Linked DNA regions of Canis lupus familiaris. The protein of the gene in region 1 interacts with the protein of each later gene in a pairwise test. Links are inferred from orthologs where the notes say so. Each region holds a gene or a part of one and is shown in the gene's direction. Other genes may lie near its edges.

Region 1 (10,369 bases):
GGAGAGTAGGAGGAGAGGGCAGGCAGAGAGGAGGCCATGTAGGGTTTGGGAGCCTGGGGGGCGGGGGCAGGGAGCTTCCCTGGCTGCGGGTCCAGTGTGTCCTGGGCCTGTCTGGCCTCAGGACTGTCTCAGATGAGAAAAGGGATGCTTGACGGAGGGAAGGGTCTGCCCCCGTTCTGCACACGTACAGATGCTTGATTCTTTCTCAAGAGCCGAAACCCTGCCCTGGAACTTACAATGTTAATCTGATTGTGTCCCTTCCTCTCTGTCTCCAAACTCTCCCATGGCTCCCCAGTCCCCTTGGGACAAAACTCACACACCACACCATTGCTTATGAGCTCTCAGCTGGCTCCTGTGACCTTTTTAGCTCTTGGTGACCCCTACTCTCTTCCCACTCACTCCTCTCTGGTTCCCTTTGATCCCCACTATTCGTCCAATACATTCAGCCCATCCCCACCTCAGAGCCTTTGCATCTGCTGTGCCCTCTGCCAGAGTACTCTTTGTGAATTATTACCACCCCAACCCCCACCTTTTATCCCTCAGGAAAGGTGAAAGAGAGGAACTCCCATGTTCAGGAGCTCGCATCAAGTTGGTGGGAGTCAGGACTTGCATCCAGGCCCGTCCGACTCTCCACCCAAGCCCTCTCCCACCAGTGGTGCCATATTTATTTATTTATTTATTTACTTACTTACTTACTTACTTAAAGCATTTAATTTATTTATTCATGAGAAACACAGAAAGAGAGGCAGAGGCTCAGGCAGAGGGAGAAGCAAGCTCCCTGCAGAGCAGGGAGCCCTATGTGGGACTCGATCCCAGGACCCTGGGATCATGACCTGAGCCAAAGGCAGAAGCTCAACCACTGAGCCACCAGGTGCCCCTGGTGTCACCTTTAAAACAGGCCTCCAGACCAGTGCACCTTTGAACTGGATGATTCTCAGTCCCTCCAGGTCTTGTAGCCTCCAGCTAGATGCCAAAGACCCTGAGGCAGGGGGGTCCAAAGTCCCCCTGCTCAGGGAGCTCCTGGGCCAACCTGACCCCTGAGTCCCCCACTGTCCCTCCTGATGTGGCCGCAATTTCTCCGCCCCACTTTCTGCCCTTCACACAGAAGGATGGCGGAGCCTTCAAGGACAACGCAGCCAAAAATAATCGGGCCCCGACCTACCTCCCAAAAGTGGGGCAGCCCCGCCCAGCCACCTGGCACCGCAGAGGTAATTAGTGCATGTGGCAAATGAGGGTAATTAGGTCTGTGGGAACCAAACCACAGATCCAGGTTTGGAGTTTGGAGGGGGCTCAAGTGCTGCTTGCCCCCACCCTCCACCCCTCCCTGCTCCCGGGAGCTCAAACCCAATGTCAGATGCCCTCCTCCCAGCCCCTTCACATCTTCCAGGGGCTGCTTGTTTCACGAATTAACCTTGGCCTTGTGCAGAAGTTGAGTTGGATCTGAATTTAAGGTGGGGTCTCTCTAGAGTGATGAAACATCACCAATATTGAGTCATCAAGTTCTCCTATGCCATGACCCCCATGCATCCACTGCATGCTGGGAGAGCTAGACACAGACACCCCTAGTCCCTAGGATCAGAGTTGGGTCAGAAGGAGGGAGGGTGTTGGGGAGAGTTTAGAGGGAGACATGGGATGGCTTCTCAGAGAAGGGAGCATTAGAGGTGGGATGAATAGGAGCTTCTTAGGAGGCCAAGGTCTGGTGGCTGGCCCAACTGGCCATGGCTGAGGGAACATGGAGAAAGAGGATGAATGTGGCTAGAGGAGCATATAAGGTCCCATAGCTAAAGATTTAGAAGTTATCATGCCAAGTTGGATATTATTTCTGTCCTTAAAAACTCATACCTAGTTGATCTCTCAACCCCTGACAGAAAATATTCAGAATTTGGCTCAGGATCAAAAGCATATGTCCAGACAGCCAAGAATAAATATAATGTTTATAACAACCAGAATTTATTAAGGTGTCAGGGTCATGCCCTTTTCACACAAGGACTTGTTGGATCCTTAAAGTAAACTTCAGCACCATTTTTATGTCCCTTTTATACATGGGGTAACTAAGGCACAGAGAGGGAAAATGGCTTCTTTAAGGTCACACTGTTCTTAAGAGGCAGGGCTGGGAGTCACTCGTTGGTCACATGACTCTGGAGGCCACCAAGGACCAAGACTGGGGCTTGAGGATCCTCTCCTTCTTGAAGCATTTCAAGAGTTCCTGCTGCAGGTCAGGCTTGATCTAGGTGCTGGGGACAGAACCATGGAAGAGGTGGACAGTAACCAAATGGCCACTGTCATCCACATCATGAAGTTGGGCACGTAGCTTTGGGAAAGAGTGACAGACTTCCCCTGATCTGGTGGGATAGGAACTCTCCAGGGATGAGAGACAATTTAGCTTCAATCCAGAGGTGGGTCAGATTTAACTAGGCAGAGAGCAGAATCTAACCCATAAGAGCCACTCTACAAATACAGCATCCCTAGAGCTGAAGAAACTTTTCGAGGCTCTGCTTGGCCTTTTCTGTGACAGGAAGTTTGTTCCCTTATATCCCTCTCTCATGCCCAAGGGAAAGCTATTGCTTCTTTTTTTTTTTTTTTAAAGCTATTGCTTCTTATCAGCCACCCTGGGGTGGTGGCCTCTGCCCATTCTATAAGGACATCCCCAGGCAGACTAGGCCTCAGGCTGGGGTAGAGGTGGCAGCTTGGGGCAGCCCCCTACTGTCTCTACCCACAGGAGAGTGAGGAGCTGCTCGTGTTCCCCAGATTCTCCTGCTTCCTCTCTCTACCCCTTTGCCCTGCAAGCGTCAGACCATTCTCCAGGTGAAAAAAGTGAGGTCCACACTGACAAAGCCATTCCCTCAATTTGTACTTGAGTGACACTACATCAGGTCAGGGCTGCTCAAGGCGAGCCCCATCCCAACTTCTCCTGGAGCCCTGAGGGGGGCCCAGGGAAGTGATTCAACTCCCCACTCTCCGTCATGTTGTTGCCTTCTGCCCACACAAGGAATAAAGTCAGCCTAGGCCCCTCTCCTGGCCACCCCCACAGAATAGCCACATGGCCCTAGCTCTGTAGCCGGCCAACACAGCACACCCTGAGTGGCCTCCAGAAGCCTCGGCCCTGTCGGCACCTTTCCCAGTTACTTAATTTTTTTTTTAATTATTTTTTTGGTAATAAGGAAAAGTCACTCTTTGCACAGAACAGACGGTATTTTCTTTGTTCCCCACAATGTTCAAAGCGTTTTGTGGCTTCAGGCCTGAAAGTGAAGCCAAATCCTTTGCTTGTGCAGATGCCTTGTGAAGTTAGAAGCAGCTGGGGAAACTGAGCCTGAGCCTCAGTTTCCCCAGCAGGGGTGAGCGGTTCCTCTCATACTGGGTGAGACTGGGGCTCCAGGATGGGCTAGTCCTCCAAAGACTGCTCAGACCTGGCCACGATGGAAGTAATACACAGATAATACACATCAGGGAAGGGACGCCTGGGTGGCTCAGTGGTTGAGTGTCTGCTTTTGGCTCAGGGCGTGATCCCGGGGTCCTGGGATTGGGCTCCCCATAGGGAGCCTGCTTCTCCTTCTGTCTGTCTCTGTCTTTCTTTCTGTGTCTCTCATGAATAAATAAAATCTTAAAAAAAAAATACGGATGAAGGGTCCCAGAGAAAGTGATGGGGTCCTGGTGCAGTACACAGCGAGATCCCTTCCAAGCCCCAGATAGAGTAGCTTCTAGGGCAAGAGGGGCCAGTGGAGCAGAGCCTGGAAGGACAAGGCCAAATATACACCAGCAGAAATGGCATTCCAGGTGTAGGGGAGAGTTTGGGCAAAGGCCTGAAGCAAGGTAAACTCCATCTTGGTCTGGAAATAAGTCTTCAGAAACGACGCGACCTGGAATTCACCTAAAGGTAATTAGAAGATAGCTACCAGCCCAGATGATTCTGGTCAGGGGAAAACAGAAATAAAAACAGGGAAATGAGACGGGGCGGAGAAGGCAAAAAGCAAAATCTCTGAGATTGTTGGAAAGCTCAAGCATGAGGTTTAGGGCTTTAGGGAACTGTAGGCCTCGGTTTGAGGGAGCTGCAGTGCCTCTGTCCACGAACCCGATGGCACTGTGTGACTTTGGAGGAGTCCAGAGAAAGGGCAGCCACTGGACTGCCAAGTAAGTGGGTCCCACAGGCAGACCCTGGCCTGGGGAGGCTGATCCTGGCTCATCTCCAGTTGGACCCTCTCCTGGCAAGTGCCTGAAGGGTTCCCCCTGACCAGTGATGGCAAACCCAGGCCTGAGGACCTCCAGGAGATTTGCACAATTGGTGGGAGCTGGGCCCCAATATTCGCTCTACCCTGGCTTCTGAGACCCTATAACATAGCAATACTGATAATTCGACCATGTTGGCATTGTTACCTTCCTCTCCTGGGAGACAAGGTGGATAGAAGCCTCTCCCCAACAGGGGATTGGAGCTGGGGGGGGAGTCAGGCAGGAACGATTCCTAACGGGGCACCCCTGATCAAGTCTCATTAAGTGCCTACTGTTTGCCTCTCTCAGCCTCTTCTAGCTTTCGCCCAGCCTGTGTCTGTTTCATTTCCAGGCTACACCCACTGAGCACCTACTGTGTGCAAGCACCCAGCTCCGTGCGATAGAGGAGCCCCGGCCTCTAGATCCCTGTCAGGTGGAGAGGGACTCCCATCAAAGGCAGAAGGTCATGACCTCAGGCAGTGCCCCGAGGGCCAGGGCCGCCCCGACAGGACGATCAAGCCCCATCCTCCATCTGTCTGCCTCCTGTGTCTCTCCCTCATGTCTCTGCCTCTGGGTCTGGGTCTCTGTCCCCATCCGCCCCGGCCCTCTTCCCCGCTCTTCACCCCGCCCCCCGCCCCCAGGGAGTCCCGTCCCGCCCCGCTCCCGGCTTCCGCCCCTCCCTTCCCCCCCCCGCCGCGGAGGGCCGGCAGGGGGCGCTGCGGGGCGGCCTCGGCGGCCCGGGGAGGCGGGGCGGGCGGCGGCCGCGTCGGGACCGGCCGCGATGGGACCGGAGGCGGCGCGGGCGGCGGCGGAGGCGCAGACAAAGGCGCGGGCGGCGCGGAGGGCGGCGCGGAGGGCGCGGGCCCCGGAGCCAGCGAGCGAGCGGGGCGCCCGGCTGCGGGGAGTCGGCGCCGCGGGGCAGCACCCGACTCGCGCCCGGACACTCGCGGGGCGCCGAGCCCGCAGGGTGAGCCCGGCTGTCCGAGCCTGCGCGGGGGACGCGGGGGCCCCCAGGTGCCAGGGCCGGGGCGAGGGCGCGGGGGTCCCCGAAGTTCCGGGCCGGGAGGCTGGGGGCGGCCGGGGAGCCCCGAAGTTCCAGGGCTTGAGAGGGCGCAGGGGCCCCGAAGTTCCGGAGCCGGGGTCGGAGAGGGCACGGGGCGAGGGGTTCCCAAAGTTCCGGACCCGGCGTTGGAGGAGGCTGCGCTGTCCCCGACGTTCCCGGCCTGGGGTTGGGAGGCGGCACGAGAGGATCCCGAAATCACCGACCCGGGGCTGGAGAGCTGGCAGGGAGTCCCCGGAATTTAGAAGTCGGAGGTGGTGCGAGGGATCCCCGAAGTTCTGGACCCGGAGTCGGGGGGCATCGCGCGAATCTCGGAAGTTCCCGGGTCGAGGGTGGCACTTCCCGAAGTCGGGGAGCGCACTGGGCGCCCCGATTCTGACGCGGATGGGAATTCTTTCCTTACTGAATACCAGGCCCCCCAGCCCGGGGCGCATGGGGTGGGGCTTCGCCCCCACACGCAACTGGGGATCCTGGCACCGGGCGGGGTCCGGGCCTCCTCCGGGAGCCCCGCGGCCGGCGGCGACCGAGGCACATGACTAGTTGGTGAGTAACTTTCCCCAAAGCTGCAAGTCGCGGCAGGACCGTCAGGGCCGGCAGGGCCTGGGTTTCTGGGACCCCTGCACCCTGGAACCCTGCTTCGACCCAGGACTTGCTCCCAACCCGGGCCAGCGCTGCCGCCCCTCCCCCACACAGGGGCTCCGGTTTCAGACCCTGTGACCCGGGCAGCAGCTGCCCAGGACAGGGTGGGGGGGCAACCCTCCTCTGACCAGGGAGGCCGCTCCGCGGGGGGCCTCCCTTCCCCCACTGGCCACCTCCCTTCCCCAGGTCCCTCCTGGTCCCCTGCAGATCCCCCAGATGCAGGTTTTGGAGGCACAGAGGTGAGGTTAAGGAATTCTCCAGGGCAGCCATTCCTGGTATCTGTGAGGTCGTGGCTGGAGGCAGCAAGAGGGGCTGGGGATCTCCCAATCCTTGATGCCACCCAGCCCTGCATGGTATTGGGATAGAGTGGTCATGGGCAATCGGTTAGTGGGTACCAGGGTAAATTTGTTTGACTACATCTTCTTAACTAGGCTGGCAGCTCCCTGGGGATTTGGACTCTGCCTCCAAGTGTGCCTCTGCCCTAGAGTGGAAGCTGAGGGGTCCCTCTGTGGGATCTAGGAGGAACTGGTCTCCCAGGAGGCATCTGGTGATGGCCACATTTTGATGGAGATCCTGGTTTGGGGAGTGATGAGTGAATGTGGCAGAAAATACCAAGTAGGAGTTCACCTTGGCCTTCTCTATCTAGCACCAGTATTGAGGGGGTGTCACTCTGGGTTCAGTAACCAGCATGCTGACAAGTTTATGCTGGGAGATCCAGGGCCACCTGGCTCCTCTCGGAGAGTCATCTCCTGCTCAGGGTGTGTGGGGGCTTCCTCCCAAAGGAGAGGGACAGGGTGTTTTTGCTGAATGATCTGCTGATTCCTTTACCTTTCTAATTGAGGTTCTATGAATGGTGTGGCTGGTGGTGGGTCCTGAGGTTGGACCCGCTTGGTTTCCTTAAGCCTGTCCTGGGGAGACACTCACAATCCCTCTCTCCCCCCAGAGGCTGAACCCGCAGCTCCTGCCATCCCTCTGGCTGCCTCTTGGAGCCCACCCAACCCAACCTGACCAATGTCCACAGCCAGGTGAGCCCCTGCCTCCCCAGCTTGGCCCTGAGCCCCCTGGGGGATGCCTAGCCCCACTGAGAACCGTCTCCCCACGCAGGGAGCAGCCCATCTTCAGCACACGGGCACATGTGTTCCAGATTGACCCGGCCACCAAGCGGAACTGGATCCCCGCGGGCAAGCACGCACTCACGGTCTCCTACTTCTATGATGCCACCCGAAATGTCTACCGAATCATCAGCATTGGGGGTGCCAAGGTCCTGGCAGGGCCTGGGTGGGGGTGGCAGGCTCCTGAGGTCTCAGAGGCAGGTTTGGGTCTAGTCATTACCCTGCTGTGTGCCTGGGGGCTGGGGGTTGGGAGGAGCCCTTAAATCAGTCTCTGTCTTGAGATGGCTCACACCTAGAACCTCCCAAGAGCTAATACAAAGTGACACCCTGGGGGTCTCATGTTCATTATTGTCAGTCTCATCAAGCTTGAATTGTGTTCCCCCCTCTTCCCTCTTCCCAGGCCATCATCAACAGCACCGTCACCCCCAACATGACCTTTACCAAAACCTCCCAGAAGTTTGGGCAGTGGGCAGACAGTCGTGCCAACACCGTCTATGGCCTTGGCTTTGCTTCTGAGCAGCATCTGACCCAGGTGGGCTTGCAGGATTACATGGCGGGAAGGACAGGGCTGGCCCTGGGGTTCCTCTTAGGGCCCTGGGGGCCTCTGGGCAGGTGCTGTAGAATAGGCATGAGAATTAGACAACCCTTCCTGGTTCCCTGGCTCATGTCTCAGCTCTGCTGGCCATCTGCTCCAATTTTGGACACACCCCGCCCTTCTCTGGGTGCCTGGGATGAGCTGGGAGTTCCCTCACACACCCTAGCACTACCTTCATCATTGCCTCCCTCCACCCTCTGCTGTCTTCAGACTTCAATATTGTCTCATCCCATTGTTCCCCTGGATGAGTAGTGCTTTCTGATTCCTAATGAGATCGTGAGGATTCTCTTTGCTTCTAGAAGCTTTCATTTTCCTTTCAAATTTAGGTCTTGAATTAATTTCTGTGGGTGGTATAAAGCAGGAGTATTTTTTCTCACTGAGTATTTAGTTGCTCTTCAACCGTTTTTTGAGATGATTTCCCTCCAACGACTTGCACTGGTCTCTTCCCCCCAATCGAGTGACCGTCTGTGTGTAAACATTTTCTTTAAAAAATTATTTTCAAACTAAAGAAGTTTATTTTAAAATGAAAACCAGTGTATCCTACCCTAACTGGAAAATCGGTATAGGTAGAGTAGGAATGAGAAGAGGGTGATTTACTTTTTCACTGAGTACAGGTGCCTCTCAGAGGCTCTGAGCCCAAGACCTGCTTTCTCTGTGTTATAAAAAGATATTCACAAGTGTCCGGGGCATTAAAGACAGCACCCACCTGAGGCTCTCCTTGCTGAAATAAGCCTGACTGAGAGGAAGGGGATCCCTTTCTTTCTTTCTTTTTTTTTTTTTTCAAGATTTTATTTATTTATTCATGAGAGACACACAGAGAAAGAGGCAGAGACATAGGCAGAGGGAGAAGCAGGCTCCACAAAGGAAGCCCGATTCAGGACTCGACCCCTGTACTCTGGGATCACACCCTGAGCCGAAGGCAAATGCCCAACCGCTGAGCCACTCAGGCGTTCCAGGGGATCCCTTTCTCAAGGTGGCTCCATGGAATTCACGTCCACCTAAATCCTACCTCCACCATGATACTCAGTCTGCTCACTGGAACAACTTATTCCAAGCCTCCTGACCACTCTTCCAGTTCATGAGACCAGAGGATATGCATGACTCCTAAAGTCCCTTTCAAAGTGACAAGGGTGGTGCTGGGTGGGGGTGACCAAGTGAGGCCCTGGGAGAGGGGGCTGGGTTGGCTTTGACTGTTTGTTCTGCTCCCCTCCCCACCCCCAGTTTGCTGAGAAGTTCCAGGAAGTAAAGGAAGCAGCGAGGCTGGCGAGGGAGAAATCTCAGGATGGGGGGGAGCTCACCAGTCCAGCCCTGGCGCTCGCTGCCCACCAGGTCAGTATTTCCTGTCCCATGCCTGCCAGTCACTCAGCTGATACTGAGGGTCCAGGTACTGTGCTGGTGCCCAGGACCAAATGCTCACAGATCCCATAAAACTCCACCTACAGCAGGAGCCTTGGAAGAAAAGGCTCAGGAGCACATCCTGGGGGTCCGGCCTAGCCTTGGATCACCGAAGGCCTGGAAACCAGCTTAGATGGCGGAGTAAAAACCCGGAGGTTGAAATAGCTAATGGGGGTGGTGGGGGGGGGGTGGCCAAGTGAGAAACTGTCCCGGGAGCTTTCCCCCACTAATTTATTCAGCATAATTTACTGACCACCTACTGTGTGCCAGGCCCAGGGCTGGGAAAGAGGGTGACAGAGATGAAAAAGCAGGCTGCTCCGGACCCTCAGAGCCCGCGGGCCAGGCAGTGAGGGGGATACATAATGAATTCGGCCTGGTGGAGGGCTTCCTGTCTGAATCTTAAAAGCAGGTGGAAATTTGGCCCCAGGGAAGGACATAGCTATGAAGGAATAGCACAGAGGTTTCACATTGCTCCCCCCACCTTTGCAGATTTTGAGTATCTCAGTGGTTTATTTAGACCAGCCTGAATCAGGTGTGCCTGGGGCCTTGGTGAGAGCCCAGGGAGGCTAAGTGGGGGCACAGTGCCTGGAACTCTGGCCCAGGGGCCATGGGGAGCCACAGAGGGTAGATGAGGAGAGGGGCGCGCTTGCATCCCAGGGCTGGAAAGGACCCTGGCCTTCAGTCACAATACCGGTGACATCAGCGCTGACCCCAACCATGACCTTACCGGTCCTTGGCCGAAGCCACACCCCAGTGTGACCCCTCTTCTGCCCACGCACGCCCTTAGGTGCCCCCAAGTCCCCTCGTCAGCGCCAATGGCCCCGGCGACGAGAAACTGTTCCGTAGCCAGAGCGCCGACGTCCCCGGCCCCGCCGAGCGCGAGCGGCTCAAGAAGATGCTGTCCGAGGGGTGAGGCGGGTAGGGCGAGCAGAGGGGGGTGGCAGGACGCCAGGCACCCGGAGTTGCTCCTCAGAAGCCCTTGGGGCGCGACGGGCCGCGGGATCGGACTGTACCCAAGGCCCGGGAAGGGGAGGAGACTGGCTCGCTTCCGCCCCTCCTGGAGCCGACCTCGCCCCTGCAACGCGCTCCTCCTTCGAGCACGCCTTCTCGGGCCGCCCCTGCCCGACCTCATCCTTCCCGGGGACTAACCCTGTCTCGGTCACGCCTCCCCGAGCGAATTCTAAACCCACGATGTCTCCAACCCGCGCCCGGTTCGGAGCACGCCCCGAGGGGCTGACGCCGCTGCCCCTTCCGTGCGTCTCCCTGGGCGGGCACCCGGCCCCTACTTTGACCCCGCCCCGGCCAAGGCCCCGCCCAGATGGCCCCGCCCCTGCCAAGGCCCCGCCCAGGTGGCCCCGCCCCTGC
Region 2 (8,609 bases), on another chromosome or scaffold:
GGTAATGTGTTTGCCACTGATGCCATTCTGGCCACACTGATGAGTTGCACCCGCTCCGTGTATTCCTGGGACATTGTTGTGCAAAGAGTTGGGTCCAAGCTCTTCTTTGATAAAAGGGACAACTCTGATTTTGGTAAGAAGCCTGTCTGGGAGCAGCACAAGGTGTCAGGTGTTCTGTTGGTTTCGAGCAAGTCCCTGCTACTAGAGAGTGGACGGGAAGTGGTCTGTGTCCTCACAAGCACTGATGGCTGCAGCTGAATCCCTCCCCGCCTCCTCAGCGAAGGCCTGTCATGCACTACCTCCTCGAGGTGCCAGATTTCTGAGTCCTCCCATAGCCCCAATACTATGTGTGCAGGTGTTACTCATTTGAATGGCATTTTCCTGGCTTCTGTCAATGCTCCATACCACCTTTAACATTTATTCCATGTTTTCTTTAAATTAATGTTTCTTTTACCTTTATTTCAGTGTATTTATAAAGGGAAGATTACATGTGCATGTATTTGATAACAACATAAATGTGTATAGACACACCATGAAGGGAAACCATGTCACTGAAATTTGATAGCAGTGAGATGGAATGATATAATTACATTCCGCACCAGAGGCTTAGGACCTTCTTCTTGTTAAAAAGCTGACAAAATCAGATATTATTTTGAGGAATCCAAAGGGACTGAAAGGGGATCGTTGTCTTATGATGTGCTTGAATTTAATGTTAGAGAGGATCCGAAGTTACCCAGTAGTGCTTCCTGCTTCCTCGCCTCTGCACCCCGCGCTTGGGAGAGCTGGGTTAGCAGATGCTGGAAGGATGGGCCTGTGTTGCTGGGATCGTGGCCCCTCCCTGCATTGCCAGGCACATTGTTGATGACTCGGTTTCGCTGGTGGGTGACCACGCTGCCACTTTTGCAGACCTCCTGACAGTGAGTGAGACTGCCAATGAGCCCCCACAAGATGAAGGCAATTCCTTCAATTCACCCCGCAACTTGGCCATGGAAGCAACCTACATCAATCACAACTTCTCCCAGCAGTGCTTGAGAATGGTAAGGCGGAGAGAGCATCTGGGCACCAGATTCTCTTTTGTCCCCTTCCCAGTGTCCCCATTGAATATCTGCGTTGTGGTAGGCTGTGGGGTTGTGGGACTGAGCAGGGGCAGGCATGGTCTCTTCCTGTCACAGAAGAGCTCCAAGCTGTGGCTTTGAGGTCAGACTGCCTGACTGAACCCTAGATTCACCACTTCAGAGCTTTGTGGTGTGTGGTATGTTTCTTCTCTATAGGGTTAAAATACTAAGCATACCTGTCTCAGCCAGACAGGATGTAGAGGTTCTTTCAGGTGTTTGACAAACTTGCTGATTTATTTATTTATTTACTTATTTATTTATGATAGAGAGAGAGGCAGAGACACAGGCAGAGAGAGAAGCCCGCTCCATGCACCCGGAGCCCGACATGGGATTCGATCCCGGGTCTCCAGGATCGCACCCTGGGCCAAAGACAGGCGCCAAACTGCTGTGCCACCCAGGGATCCCCATGCTGTTTTATACAATATACTGTTTAGGTGCTGGAGATCTAGTAGTAATAAGCAAAGTTTCTGCCCTTAGGAGGCTTCATTATAACAGAAAGGAAAGATAGTAAACTAAACAAACCTATGTCATGTCGAGTGGTGGCATGTACTCTAGAAAAAGTGAAACAGGACAGTGGTCAGTCATGGCTGCGAATTCAGATACAGGGGGTCTGTGCTTGAAGTTGGGAGGAGTAAGCAGCCCACGACATAGTGCATGTGGAGCCCACCACCCCCTCAAGGGCTGCAGGGAGCCAGCCAGGACTGTAAGCTGAGTGCAGGGGCTGGTCCATGGGCTCAGCCACGGGTGCTTGCTGTCTCGTGACACCCTTGTCTGTTGGCAGGGGAAGGAAAGATACAACTTCCCTAACCCAAACCCATTTGTGGAGGACGACATGGACAAGAACGAAGTCGCCTCTGTCGCCTATCGGTATGTCAGCCACCTGGGCAGGGCGGCCTCTCTGAAACCCGGGAGCTTTGGGTACCAAACGGGCTCCTTGTTGGCTCTGCAGGTACCGCAGGTGGAAACTTGGAGACGACATTGACCTTATTGTGCGCTGTGAACACGATGGTGTCATGACTGGAGCCAACGGGGAAGTGTCCTTCATCAACATCAAGACACTCAACGAGTGGGATTCCAGGGTGAGGCGCGTTTGGTCGCCCTGGCCATTCTTCCTGCAGGGTGTGCCATCACTGGCGAACTCCCTGGTTAGCGTTTGAGCCTTGGTCTCATGCCCCCCCGGGCATCATACAGCTACCAGGAATTTTTTTTTTCCCCATCTGAGTTTTTCCTCCCCATAATTCCTCATTGAGGAGATTTGTGTCTATGTGTAGAGAATGTGGTTACAGTTTAAGAAGTTTTCTTATTTTGCACATAGGAAGCGGTAGTAACTGCCTTCTCATGGGATTTCATCTGAAACTGTTCCAGTCTGCCCTCCTGTTGGCTTCTGCCCTCTGCAAGCGTGGGGGTTTGGTCTCTCATCGTCTGGGTTGGCGGGTTTCCTGGAAGCCCTGGAGCTCTTTTGATCTGTTCTTTCACTGAAAGCAGCCACTACCTTCTCTCCAACCTTTTGGTTTCTTCTTCCAACTCCTTCACTTCTTGAACTCAGAGATTCTCAGATCAGTGAAGATTTGACTCTTCAGGAGGCCTCTTGAAAGAAACGTGCTTCCTTCATCTTTCCTGCTTCTGCTGCCCTCTCACGCTAGTGCTCTGTGATTGTTGGGCTGCTCCCCTTCCTGAAGCTGCCCAGGCTTATGTGCCTGACTACAGTGGGTGGCAGTGCTCCTGGGGCTGTGTACCAAATAAAGGGTCCTCCATGGGAAGGACGGCTCAGGCTGAGCCTCTGTCAAACGGGGTCTGATGAGATGGAGTCTATGGGCCATTTTGCTCTGCCTTCATTAGAGCCTTGGGGCTAGCATTTACCACCACTGATTCCCACTCCCCAGTCTCTGTCACCTGATGAAAGAGCACACCAGAAGCCTTGCTACAAACTTAGCTCTGGGGCCAGTGGCCTCATCCTAGACTTTCCACCAGGCCTCCCCATAGCATTTGGCATCACTGTAGCCATGTGGCTTTGCCCCCTGTGCTGCTACCTTACCTGGACCCATATGTTTCTTCCCTCCCTTCACTTGTTTTCTCTGCTGGTTCTCCTCCTTTTTGACCTCCAATGGATCCTTCTTTCAGGGAGTTCTTTTTGCCACAATTACGTCTGTATACCGCCTCATATTAGTTTTCTTTTGCTCTGTAACAAATTACAGGCTTAAAATGAATCTGAAGGCTGTGGAAGAAACTTCTAGGCTCATTCTACTTAGCAGAATTCAGGGTTCCTTGCCATTGTGGGACTGAGCATCCCCATTCTCTTGCTACCTGTCGCCTGCGGCTTCTCGGCTCCTAGAGGTCACCCACATTCCTTGCCCCAGGGTCCCCTCCATCTGCAAATCAGCAACAGCACAGCACTTTTCTCCTGCCTCCAAACTCCGACATCTGTGTCTGGCTTACACCTGGATTTAAGAGACTCATGGTTATGTAAGGCCCACCCAGGTGGTCTCCCTTTGTTAAGGGACTTTAAGTATGTGTACAGAAAACCTTTGACATAGAAGGGGTAGCATAATTATGGGCGTGATGTTTCCTCAGCGGCACGGGGCCATGCACACATGGGAAGGGGCCATTGGGGGTCATCTTAGAATTATGCCTACTCGAAGCCTCAACAGTGAATTCTAACAGTGATTCCTCAGATCTGCTCTGATTCCTTTTCCATTGTTATTCTGCTGAAATCTCTTTTCCCTCCAATGTCTTCATTTCTCTCCTGCTCCCTTAGGCTCAGCCTCAAACATCTCCTCTCCCTTGGTTCTGCCAACATCACCCCAGTTTAGGACACTGTTAATCATGCCTGTTACTGCGCATTTACTGACCTCCTGAGCACCCTCCTCCACCCACCCCCCCACGCTGCTTCTGTCCAGCACAGATGTGTGGAGAGGCTCATGAAATGCCACAGCAGTCTCGTAAGGGTGATTTTTGAGGGAAACATATCTATCTCTGAATTTTTTAGGCCTAGCTTCTAAAAGAACTCTAGTATTTATTAGCCTCTGGTTTCCATGAACCAAGGCAATCTGAGAATCTCTGCCATGTGACCCTCAACTAGTCACTTCGCTCAGAGTCCCAAGTTCTACATGTATGAGAGAGGTGGTTGGAGAAGATTATCCCTTCTTTTTATGCACGTGCATATACACAGGGTTAGACTCTGGCCTCCACCTCCATGCAAGGCTGACCCGGCCTATGACCTGTCTTTCCCTGTCTCTCTCAGATCACACCACCTCCAGCCTCTGTCCATGTCCTCCCCTTGGTTAGCTATTCTGTTTCCTCCATGGAACCATTCCTTACCACACAACACATGCTGAACGCTTGTCCTTGCCATTCATATGGTACTTGTTCACTTGTAAAAGATGTGTCCTTGTCTAGACAAGAGGAGTTACACTTTGCTGGGTGCCTGCTGTGTGGGAGGCTGCGTGCAGAGGGACCATGTCTTTGCTGTTTTAGAGGTGACAGTCTTACCTGGGATCTACCTGCAGACTAACCCACTTCCCAAGTCAAGCCCACAAGGGAGTTCCTTCTCTGCTGGAGGAGGTCCCAGGCCTCGGGCAGGAGGAGCCGCCCCTCACTCTTGTGCTGGGCTTGCCTTCCACAGCACTGTAACGGCGTTGACTGGCGTCAGAAGCTGGACTCTCAGCGAGGGGCTGTCATTGCCACTGAGCTGAAAAACAACAGCTACAAGTTGGCCCGATGGACCTGCTGTGCTCTGCTGGCCGGATCTGAGTATCTCAAGCTTGGGTGAGTTTTGTGTCCAGGGGTCATGAATGCATCTGCTACAAGGAGGGGTCTGTGGGCAGGGAGAGCAGGGCTTGCCTCTCCCCTCTCCCTTGGGAAGCACTGATTATTTGGCCCTGGGTGTTGCTGTGACTCTGTGCAGGCCTGCCTCCACCACCAACACCCCTTTCTTCCCGCTAGTTATGTGTCCCGGTACCACGTGAAAGATTCCTCACGCCATGTCATCCTGGGCACCCAGCAGTTCAAGCCCAATGAGTTTGCCAGCCAGATCAACCTGAGTGTGGAGAACGCCTGGGGCATCCTGCGCTGCGTCATTGACATCTGCATGAAACTCGAGGAGGGCAAGTACCTCATCCTCAAGGACCCCAACAAGCAGGTCATCCGCGTCTACAGCCTGCCTGATGGCACATTCAGCTCTGATGAGGATGACGAGGATGAAGAGGAGGAGGAGGAAGAGGAGGAAGGTGTGTGTAGCAGGCCTCTTTCTGAGGTCCAGGGTGGCTATAGGCTAGCTAGGGACTGAGCTCTGTAGCCCTGGTATAGAACTGCCGGAGAGCTCCCTGAGACTAGACTTTGGAGAAGTCTTCACTCTATAGAGCCAGAAGCTGTTTTAAGAGCCTTTAGATCACCTGAGGGGCTCAGGGGGAGTGTGGCCTTTGAGAGGCTAGAGTGAGGAAGAAGCATCTAGAGAAAGGCAGTGGAATGGTTAGCCAGTGGTCTGAAGGAGAAAAGATGCTCTGTGCTAGTTAACACAGGCTCAAAGCTGCCTCGTGCCTGCTATTCCAGCTGGTGACTGAAGGAAATTCCCCTTAGCCCCACAACAGTCCAAAAGGCTTAACTTCCAAGTGGAGATGGTAAAAAAAAAAAAAAAGAAAAAAGAAAAAAAAAAATCACAAGCAGGGCGCCAGTAGGACATGGCTCATTTCTCTGACATTTTGTGTCTTTCAGAGGAAGAAACTTAAACCGGATGGTGACGTGGAGCTGGAGTTTGTGATTCCACTGAGCTTAGAAGGCTTTGGATGCCCAGTGGAATGCTTGTCTGATTATTGTTGAGGTTTGAAGGTGGAATAAAGTCTAACCATTTAGTCTCCTACCTTCGTCACATGCTTACATTGTGATTGACAGCCCTTATGCCTTCCCCCAGGAGCTCTTGGGAGAGGGAGAGTTTGCAACAGCAGTTTACTATCTGGAGTTCATAATCAGGGCTCCTTAGTTTGTTCCTGAGCATCATTCATCGTATAGTCCTGTTAGAGGGTGAATGTCCTCGATATTTTTGTTCTTAGAACCACTTGACATGATCCTCTCCTGGGGATTTTGCCCTGGGGATGTGTCAGCGCGTGATGGAAGTCCCCATAAGATGTCCATTTGTACAGACGTGGGTGCCTGCTGGCTGTGTGCCAGACCCAGCTGCTGCCCTTAGAGACACAAATAACTCATAAAAGGCAGAGCAAGGCATGGTCTTTGAAGGCTAGAGTGGGTTTACTGTTCATGAGGGCCATGCCCCAGGAGATTTTTTTTTTTAAATAAATTAATTTTTTATTGGTGTTCAATTTACCAACATACAGAATAACGCCCAGTGCTCATCCCGTGAAGTGTCCCCCTCAGTGCCCGTCACCCATTCACCCCCACTCCCCGCCCTCCTCCCCTTCCACCACCCCTAGTTCATTTCCCAGAGTTAGGAGTCTATGTTCTGTCTCCCTTTCTGATATTTCCCACACATTTCTTCTCCCTTTCCTTCTATTCCCTTTCACTATTATTTATATTCCCCAAATGAATGAGAACATACACTGTTTGTCCTTCTCCGATTGACTTACTTCACTCAGCATAACACCCTCCAGTTCCATCCACATTGAAGCAAATGGGCCCCAGGAGATTTTGACAGATATTCCACTGGGTGGTGATTGCTGTTTGTAAATTGTTTTGGTTTGGGCGATGACAGTCCCAAGCTGGCGCCCTCATAGAATGTGTCATAAATCAATTATACATCTTCAGTTATATAAACTTTTTGTAAGTGAATAATGTTCTAATCTTGATGGTTTGAAGTAATTACCTTGCCAGGTATTGTACTAAGCTTTCCATAAATACCTCATGAGCCTGACCCAAAACTGGAATATTGGTCGAAATGATGCCATTGTACTGATGAGGAAACAGGCTCAGCTTTTGAGTAACATTCTTGAAGTTACTATTTTAATCAAAATAATTGAGCCTCAGGGGCACTCAAGTGGCTCAGTTGGTTAAGTGTCTGCCTTTGGCATGGATCATGATCCTGGGGTCCTAGGATTGAGCCCCACACTGGGCTCCCTGCTCAGTAGGGAGTCTGTCTCTCAGTCCCCCTCTGCTCCTCCCCCTGCTTATGTGCGTGTACGCACTCTCTCAAATAAGTAAAAATCTTTAAAATAACTGAGCCTAAGAAAGCAACCAAACATTTACTGGTTTTGCTAAACAACTAGGACATGAAACATGCTGCTGTTTTTTTGTTTGTTTGTTTTTAAGATTTTATCTATTCATGAGAGAGACAGAGAGAGGCTGAGACACAGGCAGAGGGAGAAACAGGCTCCCCCCATGGGAACCCGATGTGGGACTTGACCCCAGGACCATGACCTGAGCCAAAGGCAGACACCCAACCACTGAGCCGCCAAGGTGTCCCTGAAACATGCTTATTGTAGAGCCTTTGAGATAGGTAGATTGTTAAAAAGTACACATTACAGTGATGTAACAAGTGCCATGGGGTTTCAGAACTGGGCCTGGTCGTCACCAGACTGCCTCTCGCAGACCCATGATGCAGTCCAGCAGGATTAGCTGGGATGAGTGGGCAGGTGGAAGTCAGTTTCAGCCCTGGGCCCTAAAAACTTTGCACCAGCTTCCACATGCTTCATTTATTCAATTTATCCCCAACTTGTATGTGTCCTGCTTGGGGCCATCAAGCTGCTGCTTCAGTGCTGACTCAAACCGCCCACTGTATCCTGCTGCTTTTCAGCCCAGCTTTCAGACGCTGCCATAATTTATCAGTCCTGCCTTCCCTTTACTCATCAGGTAGGATGAGCATCTAGTTTCAGGTACTTGATTATTTGCCAGCACCCAATCTCACATCTTCACAACCACCAAGAAGTAGGCCTTCCTACCTTATTTTTGGTATTTTGCATAGCCTGTCTGGTTTCAGTGTTGATTGAACAGATGGTTACTGGTAGCCTGTATGCCAGGTGCTGGAGGAAGCACTGAGGTCACGAGAGAATAAGATCATTTCTGCTCTATGGGCCTTTTCTCTGATACGGATACTGGCTATAAACGGATGAAGTGGCACTCCTTAATGGGTACTTTGTTCTGAGAGGTCAGGGAAGACTTCTTCCCCAGGGAAAATTTTTAATAAGCTCCAGCCATGCAAAGCTAGACCATAGACCATCAAGTTCTTTCCACAGCAGGCATGGCTGCTTTCCCGTGAGAACCCTCAGCCCCATCTCACTGGACTATATAATGACCCTTGAAGGTTTCTGTACTCCTCTCAAAACAGCCTAGGTTCTGCCCCTGTAACTCCAGCCAGGGTCCACATTCCACCCGTGCAAAGCCAGCCTTGATCACCCAGTTTACCTCAATGGCGGCTCAGGATCATCTTCCTGCTGTTCACATTCCCTCCATTTCAGCTCCACTGGTACCTGTGTATGAGCAGTGGATTGGCGTCTACACTGGCCTATCGTAGGCCACTTTGTTTACATTACCGAGAATGCAAAGCAAGAT
Region 3 (9,847 bases), on another chromosome or scaffold:
GGGTACAGGATAGGGCAATTGGAAGTGGTGGTCTCCCAACTCAAACAGCCTCTGGTCACCTCTGGTCATTGCCTCCGCTCCTCTGGGCCCTCCCGGTTCTCACCCTGTGTGGGTGGTGACTGCACAGAAGGGTGGAGTGAGGATGCTGTGAGCCGGCCTGCGGGGTGTCCGGAGCTGCTCCCTGGGGGTGCAGGGCGGGGGGGGGGGGGGTGGTGGCAGCTGGGAGGAGAGAAGGAATCTGGAGGGTCGCAGGATCCGTGAGAAGGAATGGAGGAAGAGGAGCAGATGGGGGGTGGGGTGGGGCCAGTTGGCTTGCCCCTCCCCTGCACACCCCGAGGTAGCTTGGTCAAGAATAGGAAACAGTTTACTCCGAAGATTAATCGGTATTTGTTGTCCTTGTGACAAGGAGATAATATGCGGGATAATGGGACGTGGCGCCTCAGTCCCCGGAGCAGGACGCAGCCCGGGGGCTCCGGGCCGGGGGCGGCGGCGCGGGGCGCGGGGCGCGGGGCGCGGTCGGGGCTGCCCGGGGTCCCTGCGCTCCCGGCCCCGCTCCGCGTGCCCCGCGCCTCCGCGGAGCCCGGCCCGAGAAGGGAAAATCGGTAACAGTATGCGAAATATCTGGTACAAAGGATGCTTCTGTCACTCGCAAGAATTTGTTATGGGAACAATCCTGTCGCTCTGTAATTGCTCATTAGAGAACGTTTTGTTTCTCATTAAGGCGACATGAATAAGCGTCTAGTTGAAGGAGACAGCTGTAGAAATGTTCCACAAGAGACCTCTGGACACGATTCGGCACCAATTGCCAATTAGACATGTCAGTTTTAAGAGCAGGAAACAATATAGGACGGACACTGGGAAGATAGGGAGCGAGGCGCTGGCTCCGCGGCTGCCCGCGCGGCCGCAGGCCCGGCCGAGGCCTCCCTCCCGATGCGCGGGCCCCCGGCTCCCCCGGGCGACCCCGCCGGCCCGACCCCGCGGCCTCCGGGGTGCAGCGGGCACACCCGGGGATGCGCGGCCTCGCCGGGCCGCGGGGTCGCGGACGGGACCCGGCGTGACGGAGCGCGGGGCCGCACGCCCTCCCTGACCTCGGAAGCCGTGGGATTCCCGCGTGCGCACGCCGGGCCCCCCCACGCGCACCCCCACCCCGAAGTTGGCAGCGCGCGCCTCGAGCCCCTGCAGCCCGGGGTCCCGGGGCGCCCTCCCCCGCGGGGGCTGAGCCCCGGGGCCTCCGCGGCCTGGCCCCCTGGGCGCCGGGGCTCAGGGTGGCGGGGGGCCTGGAGGAGGCGCGCGCCCCGGCGTCCCCGAGCCCGCACGCCAGCCCGGGGCTGCAGACCGGCCGCCCCCCCGCTCGCCCCGCGCCCCAGGTCTCCAGCGGAGGCGGCGCCCGACGCGGGCGGCTGGAGGGCGGGAAGCGAGGGCCGCGCAGCAGCGCCCCTGTGCTGCTGGTGGCGGCGGGAGGTGGCGCTCATCCAGGAGCTTGGAACTTCTAGGCGCCGACGGGCCGGAGAACGCGGACGCGCCCGCAGGAACCGGGGTGCGGGGTGCGGGCGCGGGGCGCGCGGGGGCGCGGGGGGCGCGCAGGGGCAGGTGCAGGTGCAGGTGCAGCCCGGGAGCCCGCAGGCCCCTGGGCGCCCCGACCCCCCCTCCCCCTCCTCCTGTCCACCGCCCCCTCCCCCCCGGCCCGCCCGGGGAGCCGTCTGGGGGCTTTAAAGAGTCCATTACTCCGAAAGCATAAGGCGAGGTTAGGTCTCAGAGGGAGACAAATACGGTTTCCATCTGATCAACGCCATGCGGCGGCGAATGAAGTCGTGACGGCGCGGCCTGACAACAAGAGACAACTCTATCCAGCCCCAATTCTCCGGCGGTTTGCTGGTTTTAGGGATCACGGAGACACTTTTTCTTATCTCCTCCCCCACCCCCACCCCCACCCCCACCCCCATAATACCCAGGCCCTCTATAGGATTTAGTCAGGCTCTTTTCAACAGATGCTACAATGTTTTGATCCGCGCTCCCGAGCTGAGAAGGTGCCGCAACCGGGTTGCTATCTTTTCTTGCTTGTTTTCCGCCTCACTGATTAAGACACTAAGAAACTAAGGAATGATTTTATTTCCCAGCGTCTTTTTTTTTTTTTTCCTTCTTCTCTCCCTCTCTCTGCCTCTCTCTCTCTCTCCCTCCTCTCCTTCTTCCAGGAAACAAATCCTATCCCCAGCGTCAGATGGTCCTGGGGCTGTGATAATGGGAGGCGCTTTCACTCGCCTTCTCACGGATTAGGCTGGAAGGTGGACGGCGCCCCTTGAAGGCCCCTTCTCTGCGCGCTCCGAGGGGGTTGCCTTTTAAAGAAGATATCTTAATTGTCTGCCACTTAGGTTCATCATACGGAGAATTCGAGAATTGTCCAACTTTTAGTGTGATTTTCTTAAAAGCCTTAAGAGTGGAAGGTAAATCCACTAAAGGGGGAAAAAAAAGAAAAAGAAAAGGGCACCCAGTCCTAGAGAGTGACCTCTCCTTCAGTGCCTGGCTGCCAACAGTTGCTACTTGGAAAGTAGCAGACAAACTTGGAGCGGGGGCTCGCCCGCCCTGTGGGGTTTGGAGGGATCCTGCGGGCTCAGGTTTCCCCTGATGGGCCTCTAATTCCCCCCGCTCCAAAGGGCTCTCTATCCCATTGACCCCCTAAATGTCAGGTGTCCAGTGAGAGCCACGTCTGAGCCTTGGTTGGTGTATAAGAGACAGTGAGACACAGAGAGAGATTGGGGGGTGAGGGCTGGGAGCCAGGGGCAGGAGAGCGTGCAAATCTCCCAAGTTTTAAAATTGGGAAAATGTCAGAAAGGAGAGCAGAGAATGTTATTTGCAGGGGTCTTCTAGGGAGGTGGTGACCTGGGTAGCTTTGTTTAACTGGTGAGATCAGATATGCCAGAGAAGGCACTGGGGTGGGCATGAGTGACCTGGCAGGCACGAGTACCCCCCAACCCAAGAGAGGGCTGTGTTCCCCTGAGCACCCCTGTCTCTGAACATAAGATGGTCTGAGATTTTTGTGTTTTCCAAAAGCAATAACCCACAGGCCTCACTTCTAGTTAACTGGCCCCCAAGGGCTATTTCTAAAGTCCTTCTCGTCCACCAAATCTCAAAATAAAGTGGGGGAAGGGGGCTCTTCTTTCTTTCCACTTTGGAAAGTCACCTGGAAACTTGGGGCAGGAAATTAGTGCAGACACTTGTGCCCACACACTGAGTGTCTCCCTCAGCCAAGTAGCCCTCTCCTAACTCACCAGGTCTCTGAAGTAGCGCTGGAGGACCTAGAGTAGAGCCTGCCTGTTTAGGGACTCTCTCTCCCTTGTCTTCCTTTTCTCCTTTCTCTCCCTGTCTCCTTAGACCCTTTGGCGTCTTTTTCCTCTCAGCACTTTTTTCCTGTCCTTCTTCTACCTTTCTGGTCTCTATCTCTTTGAAGCCCTCTTTCTTCCTCCATCTTTTTTCCGCCCCCTCCCTCCTCCTCTCCAACCCGCCCCGTCAGGGTCCCCGCATCCTCCCTCCCTGCTTCCCTCTTCACCCCAGACCTGGTCTCCATCCTCTCGGCCTTCCCCGTCCGCCCCTCCCACACCAGCCCGCCCCGGTCCCCATCCACTTTCCCTGCCTCCCCCCACCCCCTGCCCTGGCCCCCCATCCACCCTCTATCCCCCCAGCCAAGCGCCCTAAATAGCATTGAGGCGCCTGCTCTTCGGACAGTGATTAATGATAGCAGAGCAGAGGGGTTAACACACTTCACTGAAAAGTCTGTTGACTGGGCTTCTTGTAACACAATGTGGCCCGCTGCACGCCTCAAGAGAATCCTTTTGTTGTCCGCGCTCATTGTGGCCTCAAAATTCTGCCCACGAAAGTTTGCCAACGCTCCTGCCCCAGGAGTTTAATAGTTTCCCTTACTCGCCGGGCATTGTGCGGCGCTGAAAAGCAGCCCCTCGCTATTCAAGTGTTGGTGGTCATCTCAATAGATCTCCAAGGGCCCATATGGTGGCCAGTGCCGATGAATCCGCCTGTTTAAATGGGGGAGAAAGTTGGGGTTTTAAAACATTTCAAAGTTCCTGAAAAGATCCCACTAGATCCTGTCACAATTCCCTGAACTCTTTGAAGGCGCTGCCTATTGTCTCCTGGTTATAAATGATATTCCTGGCCAAGTCGATTCCCACCAAGGCGCCCCTAGAGGCCCCTCCCCGCCCCCAAATGGCCAAATTTCTAGGATGGGGGGTGGGCAGCCCCTGTTGGTATCCCTTGGGGGCCTCAGGACCCAAGACTTCGGACCCAGCTTGCAGTGGCCCTGGAGGCCTAGAGAGGGCTGAGTCCTCCAGGCTGTGGCCTCAGGAGCAGGAGGCAAGGCGAGATACAGCTAGCCCAAGTGTGCATCTTGCCCTCCAAGCAGCAAGGGAAAACAATAAAACTTTCCCCTGTTTAATGATAGAAATTACATTAAAAGTGGTGGAAATGCCCTAATTAAAAATGTACCACTTAAATGATATGCCAAGGATTCAGCTGCAGCATAGCATATTTAGCTAGTTAGTGAACTCTCTACTATTTCTTTTTTAAAATTACACGTTAAAAATTTAAAAGAAATCTTACTTTTCTCTGGTGCAACACATTACAAAGAATGGACAGTCCTTTTATCTAAATATAAAATTCCATTTTCAGCAATTATAGCCTGTTCTTGGTGATGATATAATTACAGCTGTGCTCGTAATAGGTGTCAAGGCAAAGCGCACTCATACAATAGTTGAATAAAACTGCAGAACAATGCGAGCATTTCTAAATTCACAACCTTTAAAATGAAATTGACTGTGCAGAATTCAAATAAAAACTAGATAAATATTTTTTTAAAAAGATTACAAGCTTGGTTTGGTTTCTTAATAGCATTTTCTACAAACCTATCAACATCTAATTGATTAGATAGGAATTACTGATTATGGATCAGCTGAAATCTTGAACATCATTCTTCTATTTTCCCAACAGAGCTATAGGTAAATAAATTCTGTGGGGAATGGGGACTGAGCGGGGCATTCGGGACTCAAGGTTAGTTATCAAAGGCCATTTTAATTGGAAACTTCAGCGCTTGTTATTCAAAGATCTGCCACTCTGTAACGTCTATGTTGTAAGTCTCTTCCTGACAAAAACATAAAAACGTAAAAACTTGATAAAAAAAAAAAAAGAGAGAGAGAGAGAGAGAGGTAACGGATGTCACTAATGCCTTTTATTAGGAGAAGGCTGACGCCGAGTGACCCAGAGGATGTCTTGGTGAGACTGTCAGGATGCACTGTGCTCTTGGACTGTAGGGCTATTCCCAGGCCTCTTTGGGAGGCTCCAAGTTATTCCAGATTTCTCTTACTGTCCTATTCTTTTTGTTCCAGATGGCTGCCAGCAACAGGAAGGAGGGGGAGAGAATACCAACTCCATCAGTTCCAACGGAGAAGATTCAGATGAGGCCCAAATGCGACTTCAGCTGAAGCGGAAGCTGCAGAGAAATAGAACATCCTTTACCCAAGAGCAAATTGAAGCCCTGGAGAAAGGTGATGGAGTTTTTCAAAGTAGAGAAGCAGTAAATCAAACTAAATGCCACATCTTCAGTACAAAGAGCTATATTTAGCCAGGGCCCTTTGCATAGAGAACTGAAAAGGTTTTTCTTTTTTCTTTCTTTCTTTCTTTTTTTTCCTGGGCATCTTTTCAGTGTGTGTGTGTGTTTTCTTTCTTCTTTTCATGTACCAGTAATTCAAAGAGTGAGAGTCTGACTTCTCATAAAGAAAAAAAATGATGATTTGGCTCATTCAGGCCACTGCAGGGTCCTCGAATGAATGTCATTCCAAAGAAAATTTAACTTGGTTCGAGTGGGATAGCTCTTTCAAGCATCAGTCAATGCCTGGACTAGTAGCATTTGTAAGGGGATTGGTTGGAGGTGACAGAAATGGGGAGGTGGGAACCAGCTTGATCTAGGGCTTGGTTGACACATTTTGTGTCGTTCTGGCGCAACACGGAAAACTCAACTTACTCTTTCAGAGTTTGAGAGAACCCATTATCCAGATGTGTTTGCCCGAGAAAGACTAGCGGCCAAAATCGATCTACCTGAAGCAAGAATACAGGTACCCAGGGACCACGTGGTGTCATGCTTTGTGACTCCTACCATTTGCCCTTTCTGGAGACAAAGGTGCTTCCGAGGAGCACCATTCATTTATATAAACAGTAGAAGATTCAGTCTGCTAAATGATTTGCTGCCCCTGGGGGACTGGTCCTGGGGGTGGGGAGGGGTGGAGGTGCCAGGGGGGAGGTTAAGCTGGGAGTAGGCAAAGGCCTAACCCCTTCCATCTGATTTCCAGGTATGGTTTTCTAATCGGAGGGCCAAATGGAGAAGAGAAGAAAAACTGAGGAACCAGAGAAGACAGGCTAGCAACACACCCAGTCACATCCCCATCAGCAGTAGTTTCAGCACCAGTGTCTACCAACCTATCCCACAACCCACCACGCCTGGTAATTTGCATATTCATTCTCCTCCTACTAAATGTGTCTAACCTATTTGTCCTGGCTCGGACTTTCAGCATGATTGTCTGTACTGTCCTTCTCCTGCAGTTTCCTCCTTCACCTCTGGCTCCATGTTGGGCCGGACAGACACAGCCCTCACAAACACGTACAGCGCTCTGCCGCCCATGCCCAGCTTCACCATGGCGAATAACCTGCCTATGCAAGTAAGTGAGGCCCCTGGCTGGCTGTGGAACGGCCCCGGAGAAGCGAGGAGTGGGTCAGGGCCTGCAGACCTCACTGGCCATGCATACGCCCTCGGGAGCCTTTCTCACTGCGGTGATTGGCCTCACCAGTCAAGTTTTAACACTCAGTCCAGTCTTTGAGCTGGATTGATGGATTGACTGATGCATGCTCTGAAAAAACCCATAAAAACCAAGTTAATCCGCCTCTTGCTCAGAGAGAATGGTAGCTTCATAATGTTGGGTGGGGATGGGGAGTGTTTTGGGTACCGGTGAAATTTGTACCAGAAAGCAGAAACAATGCTGGCACATTATTGGATAGTAAGGGGTTGATATACGTAAATCTGGGTTTTATTAATATGTTCATATTAATGAATACATAACTGGTGTATGCATTTTGGATATTATTTAGAGTATATGTGATAAACTAGGGAGGAAGGAGAAAAGGATCAGAAATAAGATTTATATTTGCATCGTAGGATATACTTTAATAGGGAAGAACAATGAGTTTTCTCTCTGTATCTTACAATAAGAAAAGGGATAGAGGTATTTGCTAAAAGTTTAGCGTGTCTTTGTGACGTCATTACATAAATGATGTAATGCGTCTGTGGCACTCCTGGCTGCCTGGCTGTGTTGATGTTCTTCACTTGGTCTAACAAACTGCCTCTATTCTCAGCTCTGTGGAGAATGCTTGTCAGCTCCTCTGCATGCAAGGCCCTGTCCTGGGCTACTAGCCCTTTCTGATGGAAGTTGCATGAGGCAGGTGGGGTTGACTACAACTTTGGAGGGGGATGGATTCTTGATGGAAAAAAACAAACAACTGATCTTTTGGTGGGCCTTCTATAAAGCAGGGCCTTCCATGGTGACTTTCCCAGGGCTCCTGTTTGTGCAGTACCTGGAAGGTGCCGGATGGTGAGAGACTGGCCAGCCTGAGCCCCTGCTGGAAACAGTGCTGGGGTTCCACAGACTGTTTACTCACCACTGAATGTCTTTTGACGAATTTAAACTCCAGATAACAAAGAAACAAAAAATAGATGTTTCACAGTCTTCAGACTAAAATAGGAGCAGCTAGGGAAGCAACTTCAGAGGAATTATTCACATGTTGATTTTTATTGCATCTGGATATTAACGGCCATAGATCAACTAATATATGTTAAGGAATTAAAGGCCCATTGGTTGGTGTTCCTGCAACTGCTTTGGAATTTTCCAGAAGCCAGGTTGCTTCCAGGAAATGATTTTGGGAATTAGCAACAAATGCAAGCTGAAATACTGGCAGGGCCCCAAAGGCCTGCTTGCCTCTTTGAACCTGATGTTCACAGTCGTCCTCTGACTAGAATAAGGCAACTGAATGTCTTGTTTGGTCTTGCAAATTATGGCAGCATCTTGGTTTCTGCCAAGACAACAAAATTTGTATGTGAGAAAACACTTAGAAGCAGTTACATAGGTGCTGCCGCTCTACTAAGGTCGTTTCCACCTATAGACTGGTGTGGGGTCCACCTATTTCAGATGCTAACTTTTGAAAGTTACACAACTTATCTAAAAATAAAACGTAAGAAAATGAAAAAGTTATTAGTAATTCCACCTTTCAGAGAAAATGTACTTTCTGAATTTTGGATTTGGGGGGCGGTGCTGGTCTGTCTGTCCATCAGTTCATCCTGTTAACCAAAATCTTCGACCATTTTGCAAAGGGTAGGTGTCTTCCTCTGAACCTTCTCTAGTGTGTCCCCCTTTCTGAGATGGTGAATCTTGAAAAGTTCAACATTTCTGCAGTTTGCAGAACAGAGTAGTGCTATCATCTCCCTTCTTCCTGGCATTAGGTTTCTATTAATTCCTCCAATCTTGCTGGCCTGGCATAGCTCCGTGTGAGCTCCTGAGGGATTTTTGTCTCAGCTCTGTGTATCTCTTATTCACCTAGGAGAAAGTGAATTAGAAACCTCTTTAATGTCCCCAGTCCAGACACTTAGAGGGTAGTTTACGGATAAAACCGAAACTGGGGGGATCCCTGGGTGGCGCAGCGGTTTGGCGCCTGCCTTTGGCCCAGGGCGCGATCCTGGAGACCCGGGATCGAATCCCATGTCGGGCTCCCGGTGCATGGAGCCTGCTTCTCCCTCTGCCTGTGTCTCCGCCTCTCTCTCTCTCTCTTTCTCTCTCTCTCTCTGTGACTATCATAAAAAACAAACAAACAAACAAACCCAAAAAAACCGAAACTGGGCTTTTAGATCTATAAGGAAGTCACAGCTAATTTTTAGGAGAGGGCTAGATGTTTACTGACACTTCTGACCATTTTAATCTGAGATCATTACTGATCTGCCTCTTTAAAGAATCTTTAATCCCATAAGTCCAACCATGAAAGGCTCCCAGGGACTCTGAGCCTACTTTATAGAGAACTCTTCCCACAGTTCTCTGCCCAAAGCTTGAGATACAGGATTTGGGGGTCAGTAGATTCCCAAATAGATTGGATTTGCAGGAGAGGAGGTGTGTTTTAATGCAAGTCCTCATGCTCTAGCTTCTCTGGAGATGCCAGCAGAGGTCCAAGATGAAAGTGGACAAAAACCGTATTAATTTTATGGGTAGTGCCAACCATCTGGCTAGACAGTTGTCTGAACGTATAGTCCTTTTAGGCAACTTCACCCTAGCAGTGGGCAGTGTGGAAGGACTGGTTGGGGGCCCGATCATCAGGCTATCATACTGAATATACGAGGGCGTCTTCAATGATCAGACTGGTTGGCACAGCTCCAGGGGTGGGGGTGGGGGGCTGGGGATGTGGCTGTGTGACGTGCTGCTCAGTAACTATTGGTTTGCCTTTCTCTCTCAGCCCCCAGTCCCCAGCCAGACCTCCTCGTACTCCTGCATGCTGCCCACCAGCCCTTCGGTGAACGGGCGGAGTTACGATACCTACACGCCCCCCCATATGCAGACCCACATGAACAGTCAGCCAATGGGCACCTCGGGCGCCACTTCCACAGGTGAGCCGCCCTTCTCTGCGGGCCGCACGGGGAGGCGCGGAGGTGGCCTTTACAGCTTCTTTTGCCAGGGGGGGACCTCCCTCCACTGAAAGTTAACCTTAAGAGAAACCTCCTGGCTTCGTGTGATGGCGTGTTTTAACTCTTTGCTGCTAG

Evidence for each region.
Region 2: the proteins of HOMER3 (region 1) and EIF3D interact in binary tests that used the Homo sapiens proteins (3 or more experiments, as listed by UniProt). The two-hybrid records come from large-scale screens. The link is inferred for Canis lupus familiaris from reciprocal best matches to the Homo sapiens genes HOMER3 and EIF3D.
Region 3: the proteins of HOMER3 (region 1) and PAX6 interact in binary tests that used the Homo sapiens proteins (3 or more experiments, as listed by UniProt). The link is inferred for Canis lupus familiaris from reciprocal best matches to the Homo sapiens genes HOMER3 and PAX6.

The regions. Positions count from the first base shown.
Region 1 is NC_049241.1:44,583,969-44,594,337, forward strand, and holds the start of HOMER3 (homer protein homolog 3), read left to right. Parts: upstream 1-5,034; 5' UTR 5,035-5,170; intron 5,171-5,276; exon of another isoform or gene 5,277-5,806; intron 5,807-6,151; exon of another isoform or gene 6,152-6,845; 5' UTR 6,846-6,913; coding exon 6,914-6,927; intron 6,928-7,006; coding exon 7,007-7,163; intron 7,164-7,414; coding exon 7,415-7,546; intron 7,547-8,830; coding exon 8,831-8,938; intron 8,939-9,791; coding exon 9,792-9,913; intron 9,914-10,369. UniProt on the Homo sapiens protein: Postsynaptic density scaffolding protein. Binds and cross-links cytoplasmic regions of GRM1, GRM5, ITPR1, DNM3, RYR1, RYR2, SHANK1 and SHANK3.
Region 2 is NC_049231.1:28,899,211-28,907,819, forward strand, and holds the end of EIF3D (eukaryotic translation initiation factor 3 subunit D), read left to right. Parts: coding exon 1-133; exon of another isoform or gene 134-906; coding exon 907-1,037; exon of another isoform or gene 1,038-1,896; coding exon 1,897-1,982; exon of another isoform or gene 1,983-2,064; coding exon 2,065-2,194; exon of another isoform or gene 2,195-3,294; intron 3,295-3,419; exon of another isoform or gene 3,420-3,553; intron 3,554-4,604; exon of another isoform or gene 4,605-4,737; coding exon 4,738-4,880; exon of another isoform or gene 4,881-5,057; coding exon 5,058-5,341; exon of another isoform or gene 5,342-5,352; intron 5,353-5,825; coding exon 5,826-5,839; 3' UTR 5,840-5,970; downstream 5,971-8,609. UniProt on the Homo sapiens protein: mRNA cap-binding component of the eukaryotic translation initiation factor 3 (eIF-3) complex, a complex required for several steps in the initiation of protein synthesis of a specialized repertoire of mRNAs.
Region 3 is NC_049239.1:36,055,798-36,065,644, forward strand, and holds part of PAX6 (paired box gene 6), read left to right. Parts: intron 1-5,387; coding exon 5,388-5,546; intron 5,547-6,030; coding exon 6,031-6,113; intron 6,114-6,347; coding exon 6,348-6,498; intron 6,499-6,597; coding exon 6,598-6,713; intron 6,714-9,543; coding exon 9,544-9,694; intron 9,695-9,847. UniProt on the Homo sapiens protein: Transcription factor with important functions in the development of the eye, nose, central nervous system and pancreas. Required for the differentiation of pancreatic islet alpha cells.